Linked DNA regions of Mytilus edulis. The protein of the gene in region 4 purifies or fractionates together with the protein of the main gene of each other region. This does not show direct contact. Links are inferred from orthologs where the notes say so. Each region holds a gene or a part of one and is shown on either strand. Other genes may lie near its edges. The genes, in order: RNA cytidine acetyltransferase-like, nucleolar protein 10-like, neuroguidin-like and protein AATF-like.

The links.
Region 1: the proteins of protein AATF-like (region 4) and RNA cytidine acetyltransferase-like purify together in Homo sapiens (affinity purification with mass spectrometry; 3 studies listed by BioGRID and IntAct, with this or other methods). This does not show direct contact. The link is inferred for Mytilus edulis from reciprocal best matches to the Homo sapiens genes AATF and NAT10.
Region 2: the proteins of protein AATF-like (region 4) and nucleolar protein 10-like purify together in Homo sapiens (affinity purification with mass spectrometry; 4 studies listed by BioGRID and IntAct, counting the BioPlex papers as one, with this or other methods). This does not show direct contact. The link is inferred for Mytilus edulis from reciprocal best matches to the Homo sapiens genes AATF and NOL10.
Region 3: the proteins of protein AATF-like (region 4) and neuroguidin-like purify together in Homo sapiens (affinity purification with mass spectrometry; 3 studies listed by BioGRID and IntAct, with this or other methods). This does not show direct contact. The link is inferred for Mytilus edulis from reciprocal best matches to the Homo sapiens genes AATF and NGDN.

Annotation. Positions count from the first base shown.
Region 1 is NC_092350.1:32,050,665-32,057,494, reverse strand, and holds the start of RNA cytidine acetyltransferase-like, read right to left. Parts: upstream 3,008-6,830; 5' UTR 2,718-3,007; exon of another isoform or gene 2,672-2,717; intron 1-2,671. Other genes in the region: meiosis 1 arrest protein-like, read left to right, coding at 5,492-5,549, 6,059-6,222. UniProt on the Homo sapiens protein: RNA cytidine acetyltransferase that catalyzes the formation of N(4)-acetylcytidine (ac4C) modification on mRNAs, 18S rRNA and tRNAs.
Region 2 is NC_092344.1:119,866,866-119,874,885, forward strand, and holds the start of nucleolar protein 10-like, read right to left. Parts: upstream 3,016-8,020; 5' UTR 2,935-3,015; coding exon 2,869-2,934; intron 1-2,868. Other genes in the region: F-box/LRR-repeat protein 12-like, read left to right, coding at 6,495-6,580.
Region 3 is NC_092348.1:507,930-515,519, reverse strand, and holds the start of neuroguidin-like, read right to left. Parts: upstream 3,001-7,590; 5' UTR 2,886-3,000; intron 1,544-2,885; 5' UTR 1,436-1,543; intron 748-1,435; 5' UTR 746-747; coding exon 623-745; intron 328-622; coding exon 190-327; intron 1-189. Other genes in the region: uncharacterized protein, read left to right, coding at 3,362-3,363, 4,783-4,916, 5,271-5,408, 7,138-7,250. UniProt on the Homo sapiens protein: Part of the small subunit (SSU) processome, first precursor of the small eukaryotic ribosomal subunit.
Region 4 is NC_092350.1:18,299,621-18,307,632, reverse strand, and holds the start of protein AATF-like, read right to left. Parts: upstream 3,004-8,012; 5' UTR 2,937-3,003; coding exon 2,855-2,936; intron 1-2,854. UniProt on the Homo sapiens protein: Part of the small subunit (SSU) processome, first precursor of the small eukaryotic ribosomal subunit.

The DNA.
Region 1 (6,830 bases), about 14 Mb from region 4:
TGAGAACCACGAATTCAAATATTCAACGAATTACAAATATCCTGAAGGAATGTGTGCAGACTTTGGCAAAACCACGAAATCAAATATCCACAAATATGCAAATTTTTCTCAAACCACGAAAATTGGTACCCACGAAAATAAATGAATCCACAGTAGTCAATAAGTAAACTTCACTCAAGTCAATCAGCATTAAAAGATGTCACTAGATGTTAAGCAAACTACACTCAATTTATCAACATGAAAAGATTTGAGTAACTTCATCCATACACATAGCTGCGAAAACGTAGCTCTTAATACAAGGTCCTTTTGATGATTTTTGATATTTGCGGACATCTTTTTACATTTTTATATAATATCTTTCTCAGGAGTGGGAAACATTGCAATTCTGTTGTTAGCACTTCTCCCTGGGCATGTAAAACTGTAAATCTAACTTGTTGCAGAAAATAGATACTTAGTCAGCCGTAAGCGGTTCAGCTAAGGAAGTACTTCTTTAGCTCAGTTGGCACATATCTGTCGCACTGCCTTATAACAGACTTCCCTGGTTTGAGTCCCAAATGATTTTGTAACAAGAATCATGCTCTCCCATTACATTTGGCACCCAACAATAAAACCAACGGTTAGAGGAATATTACCTAGCCCGGGAATAATATATATAAAAATGAATATATCATCATTGTAGAGTATAATCACTCTTGAGGTGGGGACATGTAACAGGATTGCTTCCATAAATAGTAAAATGTGGTAGATGCAAAGTTAGCCGTAAGCAGTGGAGCTAAGGAATTACTTTTATTAGTTCAGTGGGTATACACACTGACTTGTAACACAGTAGTGTAGTAATTGTTAACAGCGAGCAATACTGTTGTTGAATAAAAGAAAAAAAAGACTTATAACACAGAGACCTAGGTTCAGACATTGGGTGACGAGCAATTTTGTAATGAAATTTATGCTCTCCGGTCACATACTGAACTAGTCCAACTAATTATGACGGCAAGGCTATTTTAATTTTGCCTTGCCAGACGTCAAAATTATTTCGACTAATACTGAATTCAAATTCATATTTCTAGTTATTCAGACCGACACAGAAGCAACAGTGTGAGTTTTGGTTATATACTTGAGTATTAAGAAAGATTAGGCTACATTTGTGAATTTGTGAGAAAACTGTCTTAACCAGGTCAGGAATAACCACCAATTGGTGGATTATACCTCAATTGACGTATAATGGTATAGACCAATTGGTGTATAATTCTTTGTTTTTCAAAAGAAATTATTCTATCAAAATGGAGCATTGTTTTCTTAAAACCATATTATGGTATGAAAACTTGTCAAACATTCCTAGTTTAGTATAGTGACATAACATATTGCATTTAATCAATAATTGTATTTGCAGTTTCTTCTATTGTTATCTTGTCAATTCTTGATTGGCAAATTTACCTGTAATCACCTGTCAATGGACATCATTACTGTCTGCAGTCATGCGATCATGAGTACAACTCCACAGGTGAATGGAGCTCTTTGTTAATACTTGACTTTCATTATCAAAAGTCAATCATGGTCAATAGTACAAATGTTTCAACAAAAGAATTGTTGTACACATGCATTCTTTAATAGTTATCCCATAAGGACGCGGTGTGTCAGTGTAAGATCACCCCGATGGCCGGAGGCCAGAGGGTGATCTAACACTGACACACCAAGTCCGACTGGGATAACTATTTTACATCCCAGCTGTTTTAGATTAGACGAAAAACCATTTACAATTCATAAAATCTAGTTTAGAACGCCACACAACCATAACAATATACTTTATATATTACTATATGATGTATACCCTTTTTGACCCCCAAACACGATGAGTAGATATCAAACAATGTCAACTCGACCCACTTGCCAATCGGCCCACGCTTTATCGCCACTTTATAAAAATATCCTCCCAATCTTGTTTACCGACTTGCCCCACTTTGAAAAAGTGTAAAATCAAATTGAACAATCAGTCTGAAAACTCACAAATTAACGTAAAAGGTTAAAACCCCACTGAATAAAGGTTTGACAACTCGCCCCACTAATAAAAATATCTTGCTTCCTTTAAGTATGTCAAATTACTATTATTTCGTATCAAGTCGTCCTGGTGTAGTGGTATGTGTCGTGGCTTGATATGCTAAAGGTCTTGAGTTCGAATCCCAGCATATCTACTGGATTTTTCTACGTGAATTTTGATAGATAGTCTTTTCCGTAAAATTAATTATAAGTTTTATAGTGGATTTGACATTCCCGCCAAAATGTTACAGAACAAAGGAAAGCATGCATAACAAAGAAACTCAAACTAGGGTGATCTGGCAGGGGTGATCCGGTTCAGATCACCCCTGTTAGAACAAAGGAGCTGGGATGTAACAAGAGATGCAGCAGGCTTTGACAAAACTGAAACTTTCAGAGGACTCAATAAGGGCCATAAAATAGGTTGCAAGTTGCAAAATCATGCTCCTATCTCACACTAGCATTCTATTACAAAAAAATTGCATTATACGTCAATTGGTCTATACCAATATACTTCAATTGGTGGATTATACGTCAATTGAGGTATAATCCACCAATTGGTGGTTATTCCTGACCTGTTAACTGGTGTTTTTCTGAGATCAAACGTTTTTGTTTTAAAACCTGGTTTGTATGAATAACTTACATTGTTTTACATATAAAATATGTTTTACAGTGAGATACTGTCTTACTTGTCACGCAGTATGTAGATGTTCGAGCCTCGATGTTCACAAAAACGAAGTACAGTGGTAAACATTTGTGTTTTGCTTTTTCAACACGTGCTTCCGGTAATAAACCGACTTCGGAGATGGAGGCGAAACATATCGGATACGACAAATCGAATATTCTCAACACAATTTCACTGAATTTGTCATTCACCACAATGTTGCGGCTTGAAGAGTTTTTTACATTTATATATTTTGTTACTCAAATACCAATAGTGTACTTGGTCCCTACTTGGTCGTGTGGTGCCATAGCATTTTTAAAAATTCATAAAAAATGTTTCCGGAATATCTTGACCGTTTCAGTAAGCATTTCTCAAATTAGTTTATGAACTTCCTGTTTGTAATTTTTCGTCTGCAAAACAAAAATAGATTGATACACCTGCATTTAGTTAAGCACTAGCCAAGTAAAGATTGAGTTGATACTAAAACATTATTTCTACAAAGTAAATGATTGGTGGTGCCTAATGCCAGTCAGCAATACTTATTCCATGTTTTGAGAAGCATGCATGCAGTCTCAATCCCCAATTTTAATCCAGAGACATACAAATATTGTATTGGCACAAACTCAATTACAATAATTGGCAACGGCCCATACAACTATTATACTAATAGTAATGATGCAGCAATTAAACAATATTACATAGTATATCATTGTGCACATTATGAACAATGAAATGTGCAGTTATAAATATCAATATATATAGGTTAATAGACTACTGACATAAGTATATTGTATGTTATAGCTTCAAATTGTTCATATTACTCATTTATAAGTACATTTTTCCTTAATTCAAATGATTGATTAATAAAAGATGATATTAATCTAAGTGTTTTTCTACACTTGTTATTAAGTAATAGTTTGATATACAGATATATGGACCATAATTTAGTATTCAGACTTTGGTTTCTTTTTGTATCCTTTTTTTATAAGTTCTAAAACTTTAACTTTTATTCTGTGGGTTGTGTTGGTGTTAGAATAGTATTAATGGAACAATTGAGTTTTTTAAGAAAAAATTAATACATTTTGATTCACCGTTTACGTGACAGGAAACCAATCTTTATTTTCTTTATTTTGCACAATATATTTCAAAAGACATATATGAACACATTACTAGTGCTACTTGCTTCATGTTAATATTTAAAATCTATTTTCAATGTTTCAGGGTCTGTGCTATTGTTTTTTAAATTTTCAACAATATTATTAATAAAAATAGTAAATAGTAAAGGGCTTAGAACATCGCCTTGTTTGACACCTCTTTCAGATATGAAAGATATGTGTATATATATGTCTTTGTTTAATCTTAATAACATTGGAGCTCACGGTGACATTCCCCAGGATTTTTTTAAAGCACTAGTGACCACATGCAGTGATATATATTGCTTGATAGTGTTACAGGATACACCTTATCGCTATTTGTCTGCTAGGACTGGATATCACACAGGTTCCATGTAAAATTTTGAAGTCATAAAACAAAATATTTTACTCCACAATGGAAAGTGATTGTGTATGACATCAAAAGTACAAGCAGCTGGGTAAGCCGGGATTAGCGATAAGGTGTATTGCTCTCCTTAGTACATGCAGTATATTCTACCTTAGCGGATGAGCTTAAGAAGTTCTTCTATTGCTTAGTCAGTTTACACTCTTCCTTGTAACACAGAGGTCCCATGTTTGCCTCCCAGAGGAGACAAAGATGATTTTGTATTTTTTGTATGTTGAATCTAGTTAAATCTACCGTAGTCCAAATAATCATGCTCCCCAGTTACAATTGGTGCCCAAATTAGAAAAAAAAACATTTGGGTCTAAGAGGGGATACACATGAATGCATAACAGAAATTAGTTACATGTACATTTTCATCCAATGCATAGATATTTGAAATAAATTTAATAATATTTTGATTTAATTAGTATCCCCATTTTACAGAGTATAAGTATGCACCATAGTAGATGTATCTATGACTCTGTACATTTTTACTTGAGTACACTTATATTAATGTATTTCATTTACAAATTCTTATTCTGAACATTCATGAAATATTTGCCACTGGGCATTTAGCAAACATCAGTTAATACATCTTCCCAAATTACTCATTGTTACTTACACTTAAGAAAAGATGAATGACAAAATTATTAGATATTAAGTATAATTTGATATTATTACTCATCTCTCAAGTAACAACTTACATTCGCAATCCGTAAATTATTTCATATCATCTAGGGATATTAGTATTACCTTTTCCATAAAAAGTTATTTAATGCAATTAAACTTTGAAGACATGTTCAAATAAATAACAACATATTCAAAGTTTCATCTATTTACAGGAAATCATTTTTTTTATTTTTCAAGGTGAGAAACCATGTCTTGGTCCCAATATGCATGTAATATTTGCAACTGGATGTTAAACACCTATCACACATCATTATCCATTGAATGGTAACTTGTTGAGGACTTAAATATCATTATCCCTTGTCTTTGATAGATAGTTAACTGATTGTCAATCTTATCATATTTTCTTATTCTGATATATTGTTATGATCACTTTGCTTGAATAACTGTATATATATATAAAAAAGATGATGTGGTATGATTGCCAATGAGACAACTCTCCACAAGAGACCAAAATGTAGTCTTTCTCCATATATTTAAGAGAACTTTTATTATTTGTTATATTTTGTAGATGGCAGTAAAGACAATACAGATGTGATATTTTATTATCTAGTCACTTAAACATCATCTGCTGATATGGCAGGCAACATGAAAAAAATAGAGGGTACAAGGATGCTGCTTGGTAAACAACCTGGTAAGTATGTTTTACAAATGCAGATTATTTATTTGACATGAAGCCACCTGCAATTTCACCAATTAGATTATTATGAGGTTTTTTTTTTATCCTTTAACAGATCTGATGTGAGTAGGGTTATGTTCAAGAATGCTAATTTTTAATGTCATGACATAGTTCATAATTCTTTATTTTGGTCATTTTTATTTTTAAGATAGGTATTTTGAGGTGTTAAGATGGGATTTTATTTTATCCTTTTGTTTTTTTTAAAGATTAAATTGGTAAAATTCTGTCTGAAGTTGTATATATATAGTTCATAGTATTTTGCTTATATTCTAGATGTATTCTCTATACTGTATGCCCATAACCATGTAGCAAGTCAAATCTATAGTATACATGGGGACCTTTCCATGTCTGTATTTTGACAACAGTTGCTATATATTTCGTTGGGACATGTTGATGAAGCCACCCACAAAAATCACAAAAATTGGTATGCCACAAATAAAAGTACAGTATAATTTATTTTTCAGCCAGAATGTTGTTGGTTGACACGTCCTATCCACTATTAACATTTAGAGAACTGGTCAATGATTTATGTCAGACCTTAGAGAATGTGTTCTCTGTTGCTACAAACATTGGTGGACCATCAAGGATGCCATTTTTCAGTCTTATGTCTCTTGGATCGTATCCAGAGGTATGTTAAATATTCACGTTGTTTATTATCTTAATAATGTGTTATAGTATTCTTTTATTTGTCTTTATCAATATTACTTTTACTGTTAAGTCTGTTTTTTTAAGATATCAATTTGACGTGACTCTGTGCTTATGTATCCCATCATACTTTGAATGACAAAATTATTTTATTTATTAATATTGCTTTTACTTATGTATCTTGTAATACTTTGAATGACAAAATTATTTTATTTATTAATACTACTTTTACTGTTAAAGTCATAAGAAACGAGTGACCGGTGAAAAATATTGTTCTTCCAATTCTTAAACCAATACATACAAACATCATAAACTTAGTCTTCTGTGCTCGAATTTATCATTTTTTTCGTGTAAATATCGTATAATCGTCAATTGTTTTTTTCAATCGGTCAGTGTTGTTGTGAAAATATGGCAGGTAATTAAAGTTCGTGTTTTAAAGCCGAAGTTTAACGATTGTCACCTGTTTGTCAACAATTGACGAAAAATAAACAAAAAAGCATGGAAATTGAGCACGTGTTTAACATGTAAATTCAGATAATAGTTTATTTTAAGGACATCCATGCGTATTGTGCAATCTCATTAAAATCCGAT
Region 2 (8,020 bases), on a different chromosome or scaffold from region 4:
ATAGTTGACACAGCATAGGTTTCTGACACAGAATGAATGTGTTCTAATGAACTTAAAATTTTTGTTTTCTCTTAGAGCAATTCACTATGCTGTTGAATATTAATCCTCTCAAAAAAATGTTTGAAGAAATTTTCTTTTTTATTTATGAAATTTCAAATGAGAAAAATTGAACCCAATTTTTTTAATCACATCCCCCTTTCCCTTATTCCAAAACTAATCTCAATTAAAATTTCTAATGGAGTTTGCAACAATAACTACTCATTTAAATACATCATAAAATATTAAGATGTAAAAAAACTGCTTGTTATCACTGAATGGTAAAGATTATTTTAATTTATCAGTTGGTAGTAAAAAGTGAATATACATTGTATATTGTATATAACAAAGATTTAAGTTGATTCTGGACAAAGAAAGATAACTCCAATTAAAAAAAAATCTTGCTATTGCACAATATTTTGCAATTAGATATTTCTTGCTTACTATTCTGGACAAAGAAAGATAACTCTAATTAAAAAAAAATTGCTATTTCACAATATTGTGCAATTAGATATTTCTTGCCATTGCGCAATACTGTGCAATTGAAAAGACTTGCTATTGCACAATACTTAATATAATAATTTTAGATCCTGATTTGGACCAACTTGAAAACTGGGCTCATAATAAAAAATCTAAGTACATTTTTGGATTCAGCATATCAAAGAACCCCAAGATTTCTATTTTTGTTAAAATCAGACTAAGTTTAATTTTGGACCCTTTGGACTTAAGTGTAGACCAATTTGAAAACAGGACCAAAAATGAAGAATATACATACACAGTTAGATTTGGTATATCAAAGAACCCCATTTATTCAATTTTTAATGAAATCAAACAAAGTTTAATTTTGGACCCCGATTTGGACCAACTTGAAAACTGGGCCAATAATCAAGAATCTAAGTACATTTTTAGATTCAGCATATCAAAGAACCTAACTGATTCATTTTTTGTCAAAATCAAACTAAGTTTAATTTTGGACCCTTTGGACCTTAATGTAGACCAATTTGAAAACGGGACCAAAAGTTAAGAATCTACATATACAGTCATGACAGTTAGTTTCGGCATATCAAAGAACCCCAATTATTCAATTTTGATGAAATCAAACAAAGTTTAATTTTGGACCCTTTGGGCCCCTTATTCTGTTGGAACCAAAACTCCCAAAATCAATACCAACCTTTCTTTTATGGTCATAAACCTTGTGTTTAAATTTCATAGATTTCTATTTACTTATACTAACGTTATGGTGCGAAAACCAAGAAAAATGCTTATTTGGGTCCCTTTTTGGCCCCTAATTCCTAAACTGTTGGGACCTAAACTCCCAAAATCAACACCAACCTTCCTTTTGTAGTCATTAACATTGTGTTTAAATTTCATTGATTTCTATTTACTTAAACTAAAGTTATTGTGCGAAAACCAAGAATAATGCTTATTTGGGCCCTTTTTTGGCCCCTAATTCCTAAACTGTTGAAACCAAAACTCCCAAAATCAATCCCAACCGTTCTTTTGTGGTCATAAACCTTGTGTCAAAATTTCATAGATTTCTATTAACTTAAAATAAAGTTATAGTGCGAAAACCAAGAAAATGCTTATTTGGGCCCTTTTTGGCCCCTAATTCCTAAAATGTTGGGACCTAAACTCCCAAAATCAATACCAACCTTCCTTTTGTGGTCATAAACCTTGTGTTAAAATTTCATAGATTTCCATTCACTTTTACTAAAGTTAGAGTGCGAAAACTAAAAGTATTCGGACGACGACGACGACGACGACGCCAACGTGATAGCAATATACGACGAAAAATTTTTCAAATTTTGCGGTCGTATAAAAATGAATTGGTATTGAGTTCCTTCCTTATATATTTTAGTAAACTGATAAATATATATTTTATTCAAAGTCTCATGCATACAAGACCGGAAAAGGAAGTAGATTTCTGCGCAGATGTGGGGATTTAAAAAAGTCTGAAAAAAAAAGTTAACAATTTTGAGTTTAGTAGAAAATTCTCACCAATTTATTCATTTTTTTTTCAATTTGTCTACCGTTATTGGGGACTTTGTCCCCATATTACATACTAGCATTATACCCGACATAAATCATTCTGACCACCAAACATTACATTATTTAATCAAATAAATGTTAAAGCATTCTTACACCATGAGTCAATATATACATTATTTAGGCAATCCATCCAAACACCAGGGACATACTCTACTACAACTTATAGGCTGCATCAAAAATGGATTAAAAATAAGCTCTTTGAAAGGAGCAGGGTTTATTCTTACTTAGAGGTCACTTCTAGCAAAAATTGTGACATTTTAATCATCCTTCGCATTGAGTACTATATTTACACAGTTATGCCTCGTTCACACGTTCATTTCATTTGAATTGAATTCGAATCTAATGCAAATTGAATTCGCTAATCGTGTTCACACACTCTTCCTTTTTAATTTGAATTGATTCGAATTAGCTAATTCCCATTATCCAATTTGCATTAGAAATGTGTTTTTGTTAATTCGAATTAAAAGTTAACGTCGTTAGGACAGTAAAGGGATAATTTTGATGTGCACATTGCAATTCAAATTAGAATTTACCGTTTGGATGTTACTGTATCGAAGGCAAATTAAGGTTCATCATAACAAACGGACATTAAAATTAGTTAATGTGAATAGAATTCGAATTACGTGTGAACACAGCATTAGAGCATCCATATAAGAAAATTAAAGATAATGTTAAGTGATAGATAAGGGTTTATACAAAATATTCGCTTATATTCCACACTGTGACTCCATGATCACCTTTTCAATATTTATCAATAACCATAAAATATTTCTAGTCATTTACCTGAGGTAATGATTTACCAGCACTTAAATTGTATATTTTCACATTGTTTGGATTAGAAACTTGCATATTAATTGCGTAAAATAATAATACAATCACACGTGCAGTTGTTTACATTTTTGTTCAAAGGGAGATAACTAATAAAGATGTATCTACAATGTGCCTATTGGTCCCGGGTACATACCGAGGTAATTATGAATTATGGTTTGTTTTTGATTCGGTTAGATGAAATAAAATAAAACATAATCTCTTGGTCAGACTACTATAACACAAAAGTAGAGTTGTCTCAGATTCTTATGAGATATGAACTCTTTATCGATTGGATAAATTACGTGCTTTTGATGGTCATTTCAATTTGGCTGATAGTTATGATTTTTCTACTCTGTACACTACACTACCACAATCTTATCAAAAAGACATTCTGTCTGTATTCCATTTAAAATATCTGGTTGTAATCATTTGCTGCAACTCATACATCTCTAATGGAAAAGGAAAATATGTTAGATATACTTACTGGAACTGTGATGAAATTATTACGGCTGTAAATTTTCTCATTGAAAATATATATTAGCGTTTAAGACAATAAAGTTAATTGACAGGTTGTATATATTCCTATGGAAATTAATTGTACCACTTTAAATATGCACCTCATGAAAAGGTACAAAAGGAAAATCATCTTCCAATAATGGAAAATTTATTTTTATTTTATTTCACAACTTGTAAGCAATGTGCATGTCAATAGTAGAATTCTAGATTTTAATGAATGTCATCTATGTATGAGTCACACAGTAAGACTGGAAAATAGTTTAATCTGGGGGTCTCGTTACCACACAATGATCATCCCTCTACCAACTTTTTTTCATAATTACAATGATTTGGTTAATTCTATCTAAAAACCGGATACCACATCCTTGTTTTTACGCTGATGTTGTTATTATAAGCACGAAAAATATGACACTATCCATGCTTCAACTATTTCATCATTGGAATCAAATTGTTCTTAAAGGCAGATACATATTATCCACTTTATTAAAGGTTATCAATTTAAAACAGCAGTATTTTTTTAACAACGGTACTGGGATATCAGTACTAACTTTGATTTTGTTTTTAAAAATTAAAACATAATGAAATATATATTGGAACTTGTTATTTGTGTACAGTTCCGCAAATTCATGATCCAATATTCTTTTGACACTGTTTACTTATATTTTTGTATCTTATACACATCTTTATATTTGTATATTCTATTTATTGAAGACCAAAAATATTGACTGTGTGCCGCACTATATAAAAAGCACCTAACTGTTCAAGTTTTAATTAGTTGCAGCCCTCAAGCTTCAATAATGTTATTGTCTAGTGTGTCTGACACGTCCGGCATCCAGATTCAATAGCTACACATATCACCTTCCACATGTTCCATTTAACCTGAGATTACTATATTGATCAGCGGTTATAGAACTAGGGATCACATTTAACTAATCACTTTGAGAATTTACCCTGTAGGTTGACTTTGCAAGTGTGTGTGTACATATCCTATAACTTATAATCGTTGTACATAAGGGAACTGATGCACGGTAATCTGTAGAGAAGCTAGATACATGTTGTAAAACCGGTATCATTCTTTTGTCGTGTGTTACATGCAGTTCTTTTCTAGTAGTTTGCAGGTACGTTGTTTAGTCGGTAATTCTGACGTAACAAGAACTACCCGTTTAACTATTTCAGTTTTTGTTGTTTTTGTTGAGTTTTTTGTTGGTTTTTTTTTTTTTACAATTTCTGTATCGATAATAAAAATCTCTCTATTATCTATAATTGAAAATGTATTGTATATTTGTCAAGGTTCACTGTATTAAATGCATCATATATAAATTGTTGCTTTCTCAGAAAGATACAAACATATGTATGATGACAAAAAGTTTTGCATCAAAATCATCAGATTATTTAAATTATTGATAAAGATACATTTTGTATCAATTAAAGAATGAATTATAAGAATTATAGATAAAGTTAAAAGAGTTAAAATTGACGTTTTATACATATTTTTTGTTGATATGTAATACATATTTCTTGGGATTGAACTTGATATTCATATGATGAAGATATAATCTTTCAATCTGTTTAATCGAAGTCTGGAGCTGGCATGTCAGTTACTGCTAGTAGTCCTTTTATTTATGTATCATTGTCAGTTTGTTTAGTTGCTTTTGTTAACTATTCTGACATCGGACTCGGACTTCTGTTAAACTGAGTTATACTGTGCGTATTGTTGCGTGTTTGTTTTTTCTACATTGGCTTAATAGAGGTATAGGGGGAGGGTTGAGATCGTTGTGTGTTTGTTTTTTTCTACATTGGCTCAGTAGAGGTATAGGGGGAGGGTTGAGATCTAAAGAAAACATGTTTAACCCAGACACATTTCTACATTGGCTCAGTAGAAGTATAGGGGGAGTGTTGAGATCTACATTGGCTCAGTAGAGGTATAGGGGGAGGGTTGAGATCTAAAGAAAACATGTTTAACCCCGACATATTTCTACATTGGCTCAGTAGAGGTATAGGGGGAGGGTTGAGATCTAAAGAAAACATGTTTAACCCCGACACATTTCTACTTTGGCTCAGTAGAGGTATAGGGGGAGGGTTGAGATCTAAAGAAAACATGTTTAACCCCGACACATTTCTACTTTGGCTCAGTAGAGGTATAGGGGGAGGGTTGAGATCTAAAGAAAACATATTTAACCCCGACACATTTCTGCGCCTGTACAAAGTCGGGAGCCTCTGGCCTATGAAATTGTTAGTTTGTATGATTTTTAATTTTAGTTTCTTGTGTATATTTCAGAGTTTATACAATACAATATTTTTATTTTCCAAATTAAAGGGCCCATTAAGAGCATAACGTGATTAATTACAACATGACATAAACATTACAGAGTAATTAAAGAAACATAAAATAATAATTCAAATGCATGAGGAAAGAATCAGTGGTCAAGGGGAGATAATTTTGATATCTTTTAAAGTATTTAAGTAAACTATTTTTTGATTTTCTAAGTTGCAGGCCTTTTTAGTTTAGTATGACCCATATGTGTTCTTCCGCCTTTGTCTGCTCTTTGGTCGGGTTGTTGTCTCTTTGACACTAAGCTTTCCCCATTTCCACTCTCAATTTTATTTTAGTCTGTTTTTAATGTATAAATCATGTTTGTTTGGCTTTTTTTATTATTAAATTCAGTGACTTTCTAATAAGACATTATGTTGGGAATCGAAAACAATGTTTTATATACACATGTATGTACAATCTGCATGCTGAGGCCTGCCTCCGGTTGTGGGATTTTTTCGCGAGGTTGAAGACGCATTGGTGTCCTTCGGCTGTTTTTTCTCTTTGATCGGGTTGTTGATCCTGTTCTCCCCACTTTCATTCTCAATTTTATGTTAACAGGATACTGTTAAGTAATTTTATGTTTTCCGACTTCGTCTCTTTTCCAGGTAACACCTGCCAAAGGATAAAGTAAAAAAAATATTAATGTAAATCAGTCGTTGATTTTGGGTTTGAATACGGGTTTGTAATACATATAATAGAAATATCTAAAGAAAAAATCTATGTCACATAAATGTTTTAATTTATTTTTCGGAAAACAAACTTTGCATTTATGGCCAATTTTGATTTACTACCTGACAACATCATATTAGAAGTTTTGAACTATTTACCTGTTAAAGAATTATGCATAGCTGGAAGGTAATGATTTGCTTAAATGCGTCCTCTCACTCACTGAACGAAGATTTGTACAGTTCTAAAGTGAGACTGTCAGAGCCTGTCCCTGTACAAATCCTTTTACTGAATGATTCAATTTCTCAAATAAAAGTGTATGGTCCAGCAAAAACTTATCAGTGTCAAGCATCACAGCTTGTTTTATTTTTAAACTATATACATATACATGCTCTTAATTGACTGTGTCAGTGCTCTAACTTGACTGTGTCAATCTGTCAATGCTCTAACTTGACTGTCAATGCTCTTACTTGACTGTCAGTGCTCTAACTTGACTGTGTCAGTGCTCTAACTTGACTTTGTCAATGCCCTAACTTGACTGTGTCAGTGCTCTAACTTCACTTTTTCTGTGATCTAACTTGACTGTCAGTGCTCTAACTTGACTATGTCAGTGCTCTTACTTGACTTTGTCAATGCCCTAACTTGACTGATTCTGTGCATAACTTCACTTTTTCTGTGATCTAACTTGACTGTGTCAATGCTCTAACTTGACTATGTCAGTGCTCTAACTTGACTGTCAGTTCTCTAACTTGACTGTGTCAGTGCTCTCACTTGACTGTGTCTGTTCTAACTTGACTGTGTCAATGCTCTAACTTGACTGTGTCTATGCTCTAATTTGACTGTGTCTATGCTCTAACTTGACTGTGTCTATGCTCTAATTTGACTGGCAATGCACAAACTTGACTGTGTCAGTGCTCCTACTTGACTGTGTCAGTGCTATTACTTGACTATGTCAGTGCTCTAACTTGATTGTGTCAGTTTTCTACCTTGATTGTGTCCGTGCTCTCACTTGACTGTGTTGATGCTCTAACTTGATTGTGTGGATGCTCTAACTTGACTGTGTAAGTGCTCTAACTTGACTGTGTCAGTGCTCTCACTTGACTGTGTCTGTTCTAACTTGACTGTGTCAATGCTTTAACTTGACTGTGTCTATGCTCTAATTTGACTGTGTCTATGCTCTAACTTGACTGTGGCAATGCCCTAACTTGACTGTGTCAGTGCTCTAACTTGACTGTGTCAGTGCTCCAACTTCACTTTTTCTGTGATCTAACTTGACTGTGTCAATGCTCTAACTTGACTATGTCAGTGCTCTAACTTGATTGTGTCAGTGCTCTAGCTTGATTGTGTCGGTGCTCTCACTTGACAGTGTTGATGCTCTAACTTGAATGTGTCAATGCTCTACTGTGTCAGTTCTATAACTTCACTTTGTCAGTGCTCTAACTTTACTTTGTCAGTGCTCTCACTTGACTATGTCAGTTCTTTAACTTCACTTTGTCAGTACTCTAAAACGACTGTGCTAATGCTCTAACTTGACTGTGTAAGTACTCTAACTTGACTGTGGCAATGCTCTAACTTGAATGTGTCAGTGCTCTAACTTCACTTTGTCAGTGCTCTAACTTCACTCTGTCT
Region 3 (7,590 bases), on a different chromosome or scaffold from region 4:
ATGGTTGATAGGTGTCCCATTAGCAATCATACCATATCTCTTCATTTTTATATCAATGAAAATAATGTACATCTCCTTTGTAAATAAATATATTGTCTTAAAATACATGCTACATTAATTGATATGATATTAAAGTGATATTAAGTGCTTGCTTTAAATCAAGTGGCTATCTATATTGATTTAACATACAGTACGAATCTCTACAAGTCGTTCTATAGAAGGATCCCCACTGATGGACTGGCTACTGGTCTTCTTGTGGAATAGGAATGTAGAGTCAATCAAATAACTTAGTAACAACTGGTACTTAGTCTCTAGAAAACTGATTCCCTAAAACAGAAATTATACTCTTTAGATGAATATCTATTTGGCTGTCATCTTTTATAACATTTGTAAAATTTTTAATAAAACTGACCATTGACTTGTATTTTCTTTTATAAACATACATGACATATGATTCCATGAATTATTCTTTCATAAAAATACAAAAGAATTACAAAATTATTTGATCATGAACAGAGAAGATAATATTTGTATAATTCAAGGGAGATAATTAAGATGTGGCATTAGAACCTTCATTGAAATACTGTCTAATTAATGATATCTGGTAATAAGCTCTATTTACCTTTGACGTATCAAACTGTCCTTCCTTCGCCTTCTTTAGAATGTTGTCTGTATGGTTAATAACATCTTGTGTTTTACTTCTCAGATCAGACATTAATTCTAATGCCTTTGGTACTTCAGTCATATCTTTATAAAAAAAATAATATATTAGGATATTTCAATACAAAGTCACTTTAAGAGGCTACATAAATACAAGAATATGTGGTATGAGTGCCAATGAGACAATTATCCATCCAAGTCACAAATGGAAGAGTAAACCATTATTGGTCAAAGAAGGGCCATCAACACAGAAAAGCAATGAAGGGCACCTACCTGTTTATGGGATGTTTGGGAGACAAGTATTAAATTGCAATCAAAAGGAGCTAATTGAAAACAAGTTGTTTAATATTTTATCTCATTATTAATCCAATCCTGTGAACACTTTCACAACTTCCAGTCTAACCAAACATGATAGGCCATGGAAATATGAATGCTGGTTTCCCCATGCACGTGTAAATTATTCAGGCCCACCTGTCAGAATTTTTTTTTAGTGCAAATATCAATTTTTACAGAAAATGTTGTTGTTAACCTGAGAGTATAATCTTGTTTTACATTCTATACTGTGAAACTAAATAAACATTTATTGAGCAATGTTGACACACTTTATAGTGATATTAAATTAGACAATTTAAAACAGATTGAAATTAATAATTGATACAAGAAATCAGAGCAAGCTTTTTTTTTCATACATCATGTACATGATTTACATGTACACAAAAAAAAAAGAAAAAAAAGAGGGGTTTAGGGAAATTACAACCACTTTGGTATGGCTTACTTGCAGATCCAAGGTATTCTTGTCAGCAAACTATTATTTTCAGCTCTTTGTCCTATGACCACAACTTCTGTAACATCACTCAACTGGAAAAACGCAGACTATCTTTATCTATATAGGACAAATTAAAAATAAATGTAAGGCCAAACGTGACAATGTACATGTACTTGATCCAACTAAATCATATGGCTAAAATCTTGGTTTTCCCATGGAATTTAATGTGTTTGTTGGTCCTGTTAATTTGATATTTTGGGTTTAGACAAAATAAAACTCTGCACTTTAATCATGATATTGTTTTTCAAAAGTGTGTTGATGATATCAATATACATATAGATGGTAGATTTTAGTTGCTTTTAGTCTACACTGGTAGCATTATCAAAATAAGCTTTCTACTCCATTCTAGTTTTTATTTTTTTATGGATTTTTTTTAATTTTTCATCATAAACATGATAAAGAAGCACACCATTCTTCAAATTTGAATCTGATCACATCCAAGGGAGCATAAAATTTCCTAGTACAAATGTTCTAATAGTTGTGACAACTTGAAAGGCTTTTTTAATCATTTGCTGTGATGCCTTCCTCAGACACAATATTGCCAAATTTATTTTTTTCAGTTGGACTCTCAGAGAAAATTTCAAACATATTTCTACTCCTGGATTGTATAATATACATGATATACATTCATCGCACCAAACGATGCAAATTTTGATGAACACAAGAATTTCCAGATAATTTAAATTCCAGATAATATAAACCAAATGCTCCTGAAATTCTGGTCCTTCAAATTTAACAGAGTTCGGTGCAAAATTCATTTAATATTCTTGATATATGAAGAATGGAGAAGAATCTTGTGAAATCTGGGCAACCATTTAAAAAATATCCAATAGGTCATCTATATACCTCGGATGGATTTGTCACTAATTTTATCATTACTTTTGAACGTTTTTGGAAATATTTTGCACAAACAAATAAAAAAAAAAACATTAAAGAAGAAATAGAGGCACATTTGTATATTTCTGTCTACTGTAACCTGCGATAAGTGGTTATAGAGGAACCTTTTTGACTAACAACTGTAAAATTCTTGGTGAATGAATTTTAAGTATATGACGATAAAATGTTCACTTTCTTTTAAACAAATCATGTTTTAAAATATTTTTCCAAAAATAACAGTTGCCAGTAGCAAATAAATATTATAGAAGAAGAAGAAATATTTCAGACCTCTGACGAATCAGGATAAGGATATTTTGCCAAATCAAGTTACAATCATCAAACCAAAGTATATTTCTATTGTTTGGATTTTAATATATAGATTTAAAAAATAATGTCTACCAAAAAAAAATATAATGGCAAATTGGTATTTTTTTAAACATATTAATTTTTCAATTTAAATATGTAGGTTTCTGTCAATAAACAGCAACAATGTCTTATTATCACTTGAATAACACAAATATACCTTTTCTATGATGGTTATATCGTTAGGTAGACGAACTTTGTGGATTAGAGGCTGCAAATTATGTTGAAAACAAGGTCCAGGGGAAATAATTTAGTAAACCGGAAATCGTGTTTAGATTGTAATAAAATAAACAAGTTCGGATGTTTTTGTGTTAATTTTTTTACAGCAATTTCGAACTGTGATATTTAAAGGAAGATTTGATATGTATAAAACAGCCAAGCCAACATATCTCTGTTAATTCTAACAAAAGACAATAGAAAGGTGATAATATTCCCCAAAAGAATCGTTCCGGAGAAATTGACCGAAGTTGGTTTGGTTATTTACTAGATTATTAACAAAATAAAAAGAAACAAGAGAGTGGAGTGCTCAAAAAAGGAACTTGTACAAGCAAAGTAAAGCTTCAGTATGGACTAAAATTAATCTAGAAAATACTTTGAAGTTACGATAAATAATACTGATATGTATTAACGTAATAAATGTAAGTGTCAATCATTTTTTATCGTGTACACCCACGTTGTTTATTTCTCATTTGTTTTTAAATGACTTTGAGAACGATGAGGAGTGGGGAACAAGACGTTTCGGTCATATAGGCAGTTCGGCTTTGGTAGTTTCGGCCATGTACTAAAAGTATTTACCGCATCATACCTTTATTTAAATTAATGGAAATTTTGTTACATATATTACTTTTAATTTTATTTATTGACCTTTCATTTTTGCCTTTTATAACTTTTGAAAATAAGTAGTATTTGAAAGTTTGTTAGTACAGCCGTCAACAATGAGAAAAACCAAGGATTTGTATAGTAAGAAGGATTGGAATCTCATGGACTAATTAGACATTTTAGACATTATTTTATTAAACCAATCATGGGCCCTTGTGGGGCAAGATACAAAAACATCATACAATAATTATATAAACATTAGTGAAATACACAATATTATAAGTAATACACAAATAATAAATTGATAATATGAGCAATGTAGGATATAATTAAGGTAAGAGGCATTGAGTGCAATGAGGTCGATTTAATATTAAAAGAATATGATATAAAGTTTATTAATACGGAAATAAAAAGTAAAAATAGAACCAGGAATATAGTATCTCATTCTTCTTCTTCTTCTTTTAGTTTCCGCACTCCATCATAATATTGATGACTATGTGCCGTGCATGCGTGGGTAAAATTTACAATTTTATGTTTACATGCAGTAGTTCTCCTCATGACCAGTGCACAGCAGTGAGGGACTTTTACATCACAACAATGCAAAGGTCATCAAGGGGAGATCCTTCAGAACTAGCTACAGATACATGAGATTACTCCAATAGTGATTCTCCTCATGATTAATGCACAGCAGCAAGGGTTGACATTGCTACTGGGCAATATTCATCAAGGGACGGTGCTCTAGAACTCACTATAGAGAAAATATAAAGTTCAAATTACAAGTAGTAGAGGGAGATAAATCCCATTAACACTTTTCATATTTCTTAATGAACATGCATAATTCTGATAATAAATTCTCATCTTCATTATTCATTAACCATATCAGTTTTTGGTTAAGGTCAAGATTTTTAAAATTTTTGCAGCAATTATTTATCATTGTTATCATGTCTTTCCTTTGGTCTGATAAACTATCACAGTTGAAAAGAAAATGTGTTTCATCTTCGACCTCATTACTCATGTTGCTACAACATCTAATACTGCATAGTCAAATGTAACAATCTCTGAAATCTCGACTGTGACATTTTCCATATTCTTCGTTAACCCTTTATACTTATCTTTATAAAAAATCTTTATTGCATATATACAGAAATAATTACTTATTACTTTTGTTTTTAAAACATTGATAGAACATTAAGGAAAAATGTTCAATTCGTAATTAGTTTTTTTAAACTATTTTTCAGGTTGGGAAAACATTTTAGATTTAAAAACATGACCACCATAACTGTGCCAAAAGAACCTGAGTACCGATCATGTGAGCTTTCAGGGGAGAAAACTTGTAATGATGGAAGATGTATTTCAAAGATAGATCTGTGTCGTAAGTTCTTCTTAGATTGAAAACAGAAAATTCCATTCAATATTTATCATCTTTATTGACATATCATTCACTGTTAATCCCCAGATTAAATTGACTATTTACCATGTTTACACAAAAGAATTGAAAAAAAAGGGAAATGATGTATTATGTGTTTAAAGTTTCCCTTCTGACCCTAATTTTGAGAATTAACAAAGAATGATCAGCAAGCTGTCTCATCTGAGCATTGATGATATTAGGACATAATAGTGTTAAATAGCTCTTAGCCTCTAGTTATAACTAAAATACAACTGACCTCTTTCGAAATACTAAGTGGAAATTATTAAGAGTTTTGTTGTAAATTTGATGTGATTTCAGCTGAGGAACAGTTGATGAATCAGAACACGATACTAATTATGATCGTAGTGGGAATAGCTGTGGTGATTTTCCTTATTGTGTTATACTGTTTTCAACAAAGACAAAGAAATGCTTCAAGGTCAAGGTTAAGAAATCAGAGTAAGTACTGTAGTAAAGTGCTGTTGGTTCACACAAACAAGGTCAAGGTTAAGAAATCAGAGTAAGTACTGTAGTAATGTACCATTGATTCTCAAAAACAAGGTCAAGATTAAGAAATCAGAGTAAGTACTGTAGTACCATTGATTCTCACAAATAAGGTCAAGGTCAAGACATCAGAGTAAGTAAGGTAGTAGCTTTGATTCTCAACAAGGTCAAGGTTAATAAATCAGAGTAATAACTGTAGTAATGTACAATTGGTTCACAAAATCAAGGTCAAGGTTAGGAACTCAGAGTTAGTACTGTAGTACCATTGATTCTCACAAACATGGTCAAGGTCAAGACATCATAGTAAGTATGGCAGTACAATTGATTCTCAAAAACAAGGTTAAGGTCAAGACATCATACCACATAGTAAGTTCTGTAGTACCATTGATTCTCAAAAACAAAGTTAAGGTTAATAAATCAGAGTAAGTATGGCAGTACCATTGATTCTCAAAAACATGCTCAAGGTCAGGACATCATAGTAAGTATGGCAGTACCATTGATTCTCAAAAACAAGGTTAAGGTTAATAAATCAGAGTAAGTTCTGTAGTACCATTGATTCTCAAAAATAAGGTCAAGGTCAAGACATCAGAGTAAGTATGGTAGTACAATTGTTTCTCACAAACAAGGTCAAGGTTCAGAAATCAAAGTAAGAACTGTAGAACCATTGATTCTCACCAACAAGGTCAAGGTCAAGACACTAGAATAAATATGGTAGTAGCTTTGATTCTCAACAAGGTCAAGGTTAATAAATCAGAGTATGTACTGCAGTACCATTGAATATCACAAACAAGGTCAAGGTCAAGAAATCAGAGTTAGTATGGTAGTACAATTGTTTCTCACAAACAAGGTAAAGGTCTCAAGACATCAAAGTAAGTACTGTAGCACCATTGAATCTCACAAACAAGGTCAAGGTCAATACATCAAAGTAAGTACTGTAGCACCATTGATTCTCAAAAACAAGGTCAAGGTCAAGACATCAGAGTAAGTATGGTAGTACCATTGATTCTCACAAACAAGGTCAAGGTTCAGAAATCAAAGTAAGTATGGTAGTACAATTGATTCTCACAAACAAGGTAAAGGTCAAGACATCAAAGTAAGTACTGTAGCACCATTGATTCTCACAAACAAGGTCAAGGTCAAGACATCAAAGTAAGTACTGTAGCACCATTGATTCTCACAAACAAGAGTAAATACTGTAGCACATGTCATTGATGCTATATACATAAATAAATGTGGATAAGTTTTTCATTTGCCTTTTCCAGCTTCAAAATTAAAGGATACTATCTTAACCCTCATATAAGTCTTGTTATATGTAGGGGCTCTATTTGAACCCTTATAAAAGTCTGTTATTTATTTGAGTATTTATCTATAATGTATGTATCTAAAACAGTAAACAGTAGCTGTTGATGCTAATCATTTGTGAAATACATTCAAAATCATGAAAATGTAAAGAGTCTTAATCGTTATGATACATACCAGTACATTAACATATTTTAGAAGTGAACACTTGAATGTTGCATACATTTGTGCATATTGTTATCCTTCCTGACATTGTTGTCTCATTCACCTAATTTACTTTGTTTTAGTTTCAGTTTTATGAAATATGTTGAAAGGAATGTTTGTTTCCTTGTCACACTTTTCAATAGACCAGCAATGTTCATGTTAAGCTATATTTATCTTGCAGCATCAATAGATAACGACATGGATCCAGAAAGATCATCTTTATTTGAGCCTCCTCCAGCCTATAATGAGGCCATAGACACAAGGTTGTACCCTCCCACACCACAGATGCTCAGAGTGAGTTAATAAAGTAGAAATGTCCTGCTATACATTCATAACATTTGAGATTCAATTTCTCATACTCCATGAGCCTATAAAAGGAGTCCTATATTGATGTGTTTCTAGTTATTTAGTTCTCCACAAGACTGACATCACATTATACGATATTAAACATCTGATAAAAGAATTCATTAAAATTCTGCTGTATTTTTATGTTGGCATAATGGTTAGAGAGCTTTAAAAGAAAAAGGCTAATGTTTAGGTATTCAAAACCTATACATTGGTAAACTATTCCTGGGCCTTTTATTATTGACTGTACAGTATGGGGTTACATTGTTGAAGGCTAAATGACGAGCTA
Region 4 (8,012 bases):
CAATTTGAAATTATGATTTATGTATGAGTTATACCTAGAATTTAATTCGTACCATAATGTAATCTTTTGTAACCATATAATCAGATGCAGAAGTTCATTATGTCTACACTCCATATGAATTAAAATAACACTATAATATTTTTGTCAGTCTGACTTTTCTTTATTTACCTTCACCAGGAACAATTTATATTTCTTACAGGAAGGATGAAAGACAACTTGCATAAACAATGATTTAACCAGGTGCTGTTGTATTTTTCTATGGTCGGGTTGTTGTCTCTTTGGCACATTCCCCATTTCCATTCTCAATTTTAAAATGAATTGCCCTTGTTGACTATGGCTCATTCAGGGCAAAACATGACATGCAAATATCTGCTTTGTGATGTTAAATTTTCCAAAAAAAAACTTTATAGGAAACTTGTCTATGGGAAACCGGACAATGTGACCAGGATTTTGAATTCACTGGGACATGAATGTGGTGATTATTCATTCTTTATTGCATGCAATCTAAAGGCAGGTATTGCTCTGAAAGAAAGATTACGCTTCAGTAATTATTTTCTTAAAATAAATATTATGAAACACAAATGAAATGTTAATGCAATTAGAATTTATGTATTGCTAAAGGTAAGACATAATTGTTTATATCAATGAAATAATGAAAGACTGACAGGCCTCAAAGCAAAAAAATATAAAAGCCTTCCAACATGAACACGTCCAGGACGTCATAATTATTTTAACTAGAAATTTAGAGGGCATTATTTTATAATGAAACAGATTCCTGTTTGCTTCATTGTGAGTAATGGGATGGAATCATAACCTTGTTTGGCTTGGAGAGTAGTGGATGTACGATTTGCAAAATCATATTTAAAGGTATCACATCCGTTGCTCCCAAAACAACATTTGCACCCTATATTTTTCGCCTGCTGGGTCTGTTTGCACCATATTTTATATTCAAATACCGGTTGAAATATTAGTTGGTTTTTTTTTAGTATATTTAAGAATTAAATGCTTCTTTTTGTAACTTCATTGGGGTGTAAAAGCGTTGACACAAGTACATTTTGTATGAAGGGCGGAACCTCTTCATTCTAATATTCTAATAATGTACACACGGTCAACACTTTTACAACCCTATGAAATTACAAAAAGAAGCATTCAATACTTATAATTACATCATGGATTCGTATCTACGAATTCTAGTCAAATTGGCATCTGGTTTAATCGTGACCTGGTCAAATCGGCACCCGGTATAGTCAAATTGGGACCTAGTCAAATTGTCACCTGGTTAAGGTAGCACAATACAAAGATTTTTTTACTTCCAATCACTAACCTTTAAAATGCTGTAACTTTCTTATGAATGCATACAAAATAATAAAAGAGGTATATATAGATAGATAAAAGATTAATCTTTTAAATGAATGCAATATTTTTATTATGCAATCATTATGTAATCAATTATTATGTAATTAGTGGCAAAATCTTGGTCAGTTCAATTGAATGAATTTAGCTCTATCATTTCTTTAGCTAAACAGAAAAATTTAACGGAATCTTAATCAACATATCATGGGCTTCAAAAGGGTGTCTCAAATTGTCCCTATGGTATTCCATTCTCTCATAAATCCCTAATTACATGTAGTGTAAACATCCTAACCACATAAAAGAAGATAATGTTTAATTAGGTGTAAAATTTGATCTATACATTCTATCTGAAATCTGAGACACCCTTTTGTAGATAATGGCCATAGGAACAACATGTAATAAAATCAACCCTCTAGGGATACCTATGCCGAGGCTAATTTCATTTGAAAGTGGAAATTTGGTGAAAAATATTTTAGACACAGTTAACATTATAATTGGTTACATAATTGTTGCATAATACTAACATTGCATTAATTTGAAAGAGTAATCTGTTAGCTATCCAAAACTACCACTTTTATAAATTATCAAGCATTATTAAGAAAGTTACAGCATTTTAAAACTTGGGAGTTGGAGTTATAAAATCTTTGTATTGTGCTACCTTAAATCGGTACCCGATGTAGTAATTTCGGCACCCATGATAAATATATGTATTTTTTATCAAGCATTTTCAGAAAAATATTGAGTTATTTACATTATTTAAAGTTTCTGTAGGTTTTTTCCTGTTCATTTTTTAAAATGTGTATTCAAGGTATTGGATACTTTTAATGCATATTTGAACCAGTTGAGCATTATGCACAATTGTTGGTTTAATGCTGTATAAACTTTCAAGAAAACCTTCTTTCTTGCTAATTATTTTCCATGCGAGTTTGATTAGTATTAATACTGGTAAAGACTCATAGTTTTCCCTTTAATTGTTGCTAATTTTCTCAGAAATTGTCTAAAATGCAGGTTGAGGATTACAGTTTTAAGTATCAGATATACCACTAGGGCCTCATAATTAAACAACATGGTAATGGCTTCATTGTTTTTTTATTCAGATTTTGAAGAAAAGAAAACATCAATGACTACATGTATAGAGTTAAAACTTAAAACAACAAATATGTTAATTATGAAATAAGTTATTAATTAATTCACTGAAAAAAAAACTTAATCAAAACATCATTCATAGAATGTTGGAAAAACTTCAAACAAATAACTTTTGTATTTTAACTGCTTGATGTTGGTTTTTTTTTTTACATTTTTAGGATTATTTAAATATATTATTTGAAATATTATTGGATGCCGAATTGACTTTCAATAGATGCCGAGTTGACTAAATGCCGATTTAACCAGGTGCCGATTTGACCAGGTGCACGTATCTACACTCCTGGCCGTACTGACAATAACTTTATAATATAAGTTCATCATTATTCTTTTCTACCCATATAAGAACATAATTTACCATCTCCAAAAAAATCTTCAGGATCTTTAAATTCTGGTACAGTTGATGATAATTTAGCTATCTGTTCGCGTAGGCTAACCATGCTTGCTCATGTATGCGAATCTGGCCATGAATAGTCTAGAAACTTTCCAAATGCAATCAACGAGAGTAAGCTAAATTTATTACACAGATTTCGAACTCGGTTCTTATTGTATTTAATCAGTACACGACACTAAATGCACAGGCATTCGAGAACGAAGTTCCCTTTTCTATGCAGAATTATGCTAATAAGGATTTGTAAAATGAGCATCTCGACTTTATTCTGTACTGTTCGTAAATATTGCTAATTAATGATTGTATCTATGGCACGGTCTCCTTATGGAATGACAAACACTGTAAATAATTGAAAAAAATAACTTTGGGATAGAGAGGATACAGGAGTTCAGCTTTTATAACAAAAAAAAATATAGTTATATTAATACACAAACATATTGGTTTCGAAGACATTTGGCAGCTTTTTGAATGTATTTCGTTTCGTTTCGTTTTGTTCCGTCCGTTCCGTTCTATTTCATAAGACATAAGACATAAAGCTTTATTTAGATAAATGGGGGAAAAACAGTTGACACATATACATTACAGTCTGACTTACACAATTATTATTCTTTAATATATTAGCAGTATGTGATATTTGATATGCAAAAGGTTTTTGCCTGTTTTTTATTCTTAACTTAAGAGAATTATAATTATCATGGCATATTTCAGTAAAACAATCCTTTAGACCTACTGGTTGGCTGATAATTATTTACTAATATTTCTTATGTAATACTGTTTGTATTGCATACCTTCAAATACAATACTGTTTTCGCGCTTCATACAAAATGTACTTGGGTCAACGCTTTTACACCCCCAATGAAGTTATAAAAAGAAGCATTTAATTCTTAAATATACTAAAAAAAAACAAAAAAACTAATATTTCAACCGGTATTTGAATATAAAATATGGTGCAAATAGATGAACGAACAGACGGACCCATAGACCAGAAAACATAATGCCCATAAATGGGGCATAAAAATGCACACGTAAAGTTGACATAGTTTTGATAGGTACGAAGTGGTTGCAAGTTCTCAGTGTATTTCACTACTGAAGCAACTGATCACATAACATCTGTACTCTCTCTCTCTCTATATATATATTTGAATCCTTTCAATGCTTACATATATAATTCTGTTTTGAAAAAATAAAAGTTTCCCCTTCTTGGCGTCCGAAAATAGTCTAATTAATACAGCTGGAAAATCGGAAACAAAATATGATTCTGGTATGTTGAAATTAGCCAGTTTATATAGTATTTATAGTTTTGTTTATAAAGTTGACGAATAAAATGCTCTATGAAATACAGCCACCTACTGTATAATTGATTATCGTTTGCATGGAATTTTTATACCACAGTTTCATTTACATAGTATAGAGGGTGACCCCCACCCCCCCACCCCCCCCCACCCCCCCAATCAGCGGAATGAATTGCAACCAAACTTTGATGTCCTTTGGTGCATTCTTACGGATATAATGCAATGATGCACCGCAAAATTTTACTTTTCGATCCAAATAATTTTGGGGTTTACTTACGAAATCTAAAAACTTTACCATTGCTTTGTATTTTTTTTTTGGGGGGGGAGTACCCATTTTGTATCCGTCACTCTTCCTAAAGCGCTAAATTATTGAAACAATCTCACACTTATATAACTATATAATGTCCCATTTTGGTTTTGTTCTCTGTTATTTAATTAAGGGTATCCCTCACCAAAACATGCAATGGGCGAAAAAGGGTGTGTGTATTATTTTGAGTCTTGACCTTGTTTTGTTATTGTTATATATCATTGTTAACTAGTTCTTCCACCAACAATTTTGATGCTAATAAAAGCCTTCTACAACAGCTTTGGATGTAGTGTCATCCTTGATAACTCTATCTCAGACTCATTTGAAGTTAAATCTGGTGTAAGACAGGGATGTATTATGTCACCAATCCTATTTTTATTGGCCAAGACAAACAACATCAGACAAGAAAAGGGGTATCCAGTGGACCATGTTTAACCAGTTAGAAGACCTTGATTTTGCTGATAACATTGCCATATTATCAACAAAAAGTGAACACCTCCAAGGAATACCAACATACTTAACAACTATGCAAAGCAAACTGGTCTGAATGTCAATGCCAAGAAGACCAAGGTAATGTCAATAAACACTAGAAATACAACACCAATAACAATCAATTATCTGTCAGTGGACAGTGTTGAAGATTTCACCTACCTTGGAAGCATCATAAGTAAAGATAATGGGACAGGGAAGGGTATAAAGGCAAGACTATCTAAGGCACTTGCAACATTTGCAAAACTTACAATCTGGAAGTCCAACCAGTAGAGTTTAATGACCAAACTGCGAATTTAATACAGCAATATAAAATCTGTCCTACTGTATGGTTCAGAAAATTGGGCGTGTTTTAGTTAGTGACCTTCAAAAAGTAATAGATGCATTCCATACTAGCTGCCTAAGAAAGATCAACAGAACATTCTGGCCAAATAAGAACAGCAACAAGAGCCTTTGGGAGAAATGTAATGCTGAGAGTATAACAGCAGAAATTAAACAACGAAGATTTAGATGGTTAGGTCATGTACTGAGAATGCCACAACACCGCACACCTAAAACAGCTCTATATTGGACACCACCAGGAAAAGGGAAACCAGGGAGACATAGAATCACCTGACGAAGAACTGTTACAGCAGAATTAGAAGCAATGGGTTACACATGGGGCCAAGCCCAGTACATGGCCAAGGACAGAGAAGTGGAGGCAGTTTTTTGTGGCCTTATGTCCCACTGGGGATGAAAAGGATAAGTAAGTAAGTAACTAGTTCTTGGTGTTCTTTTATATTCCGTTTGTTACTCAACCGATCGAGATTAAAGGGGGAGGGTTGACATCTTAATATAGATAAAAAAATATATAAAAAAATAATTAAAAACTTGGTCATTACTTTGCTAAACAGTAGATTTGGAGTTCGGATGATTATAGTTTAAACTCTTTTTGTTGAAGACCGTACATTGATCTCTTTGTAATATTTTCCTTGCTTGTGTTGTTGGGTTGCAACAGTATAATTGGCACATACCTTTCATCTCCTTTGATTAATGATCATGTGTTCGATCCAATGCCAAATCAAACCAAAGCCTTGAAAATTGTCGACATGCTGTTTTTCTACAAAACAGTCGACATGCTGCTTTTCCACATGACAGTCGACATGCTGCTTTTCCACATGACAGTCGACTTGCTGCTTTTCCACAGTCGACATGCTGCATTTCCAAATGGCAGTCGACATGCTGCTTTTCCACATGGCAGTCGACATGCTGCTTTTCCACATGACGGTCGACATGCTGCTTTTCCACATGGCTGTCGACATGCTGTTTTTCCACATGACAGTCGACATGCTGCTTTTCCACATGGCAGTCAGGCGACATGCTGTTTTCCGCATGACAGTCGACTTGCTACTTTTCCACATGGTAGTCAGACGACATGCTGTTTTCCGCATGACAGTCGACTTGCTACTTTTCCACATGGTAGTCAGACGACATGCTGTTTTCCGCATGACAGTCGACTTGCTACTTTTCCACATGGTAGTCAGACGACATGCTGTTTTCCACATGACAGTCGACATGCTGCTTTTCCATATGGCAGTCAGGCGACATGCTGTTTTCCACACGACAGTCGTCGACTTGCTGCTTTTCCACATGGTAGTCAGACGACATGCTGTTTTCCACATGACAGTCGACATGCTGCTTTTCCACATGGTAGTCGACATGCTGTTTTTCCACTTGACAGTCGACATGCTGCTTTTCCACATGACAGTCGACTTGCTGCTTTTCAAACTAGCAGTCGACATGCTGCTTTTTCCACATGACAGTCGACATTTAGGAGAAAAGAATAGACTGGTCAGCTCGAGGTCAGAATAATGTGTCCAGCTAGGGCAACGTATTATGCACCAGACTTATTTTAAATTGTGAACTAGTCCGTTGAAATTCCAAGTTATGGTATCGGTCATTTTACAAAGCAGGGTTCATATTCACAAAGCATTTAACATGCTATCGTCCTGATCTGCATGTAATAGTTGTAACTGGACGTTATATATCTTAATGGATGATACGCGTAGATTTCTTTAATAAAAGCTTGTCGTCCAATTCAGTTGCAGTTGTAACTAAACCTTAATTATCAGGTATTTCATATACAATGCAATTGATTAATTGCGACTGGAAAAGTAAAAACTATATTGTATATGAAGCGCTAAAACATTTGTATCGATCGAAAGATTTGTAAATATTGTAACAAATACAATCATGACAACAGAATTGCATGGACCCATCAAGGTATGATTTTTGTTCTAATTTTGTACAATTAATTTTTAATAGAATTTAGTGAAGCAAATTTTCTAAGCAACAAGTCATGGCATCATTGATTTGTGAAATCCGCCTGAACGGATGCACTCTACAATTTCCAGAGATGTGACATGATGCTAGGTTATGAATCTCTCCATGAAAACTGAATTGAACCAGGACATTCTAACTTGCACTGTTGACTTTTATCGCGTGCTAGAAAATAGAATCGATCACCTGTATTGGGTTAAAAAAATGTTTATGTAACTCTATCTTTAAATTTAAAGCACATTTAATATCTGGATGGATTGCTGTGTATAAAAATACAGGTAAAGATGGCTATTTTTCAATTAATTGTTGATACGTCTTTTAAAATTACATCGAAGCATATCAACGGGGTAATCTTACACTGACACACCGCGTCCTCGTGGGATAACTATTAATTAAAAGGTGTCATCTACTGTTTTAACACATGCTAGACGCGTCAGTTACAAACGTAACTGTCCTGTGAACATACATGCCACTGAGTTGTCTCGAGTTATAACTGGAAGTTTGTTGCAAACTTTATTTCGTGATGTTGAAGTAACCAGCATTGCCGGGACTTCTACAAAAATCAGTAAATTAATTTGATTGATAATAACATTTGTACCAATTTGATGAGAGCATTTCATGTTTTTTGCATGGCAATCAGGCAGAACAACGTGACATTTTTACACTAGAGTATTGTTTGTGAGGATTCTCGTTTCTAGAAAAACTGTACATATAATAA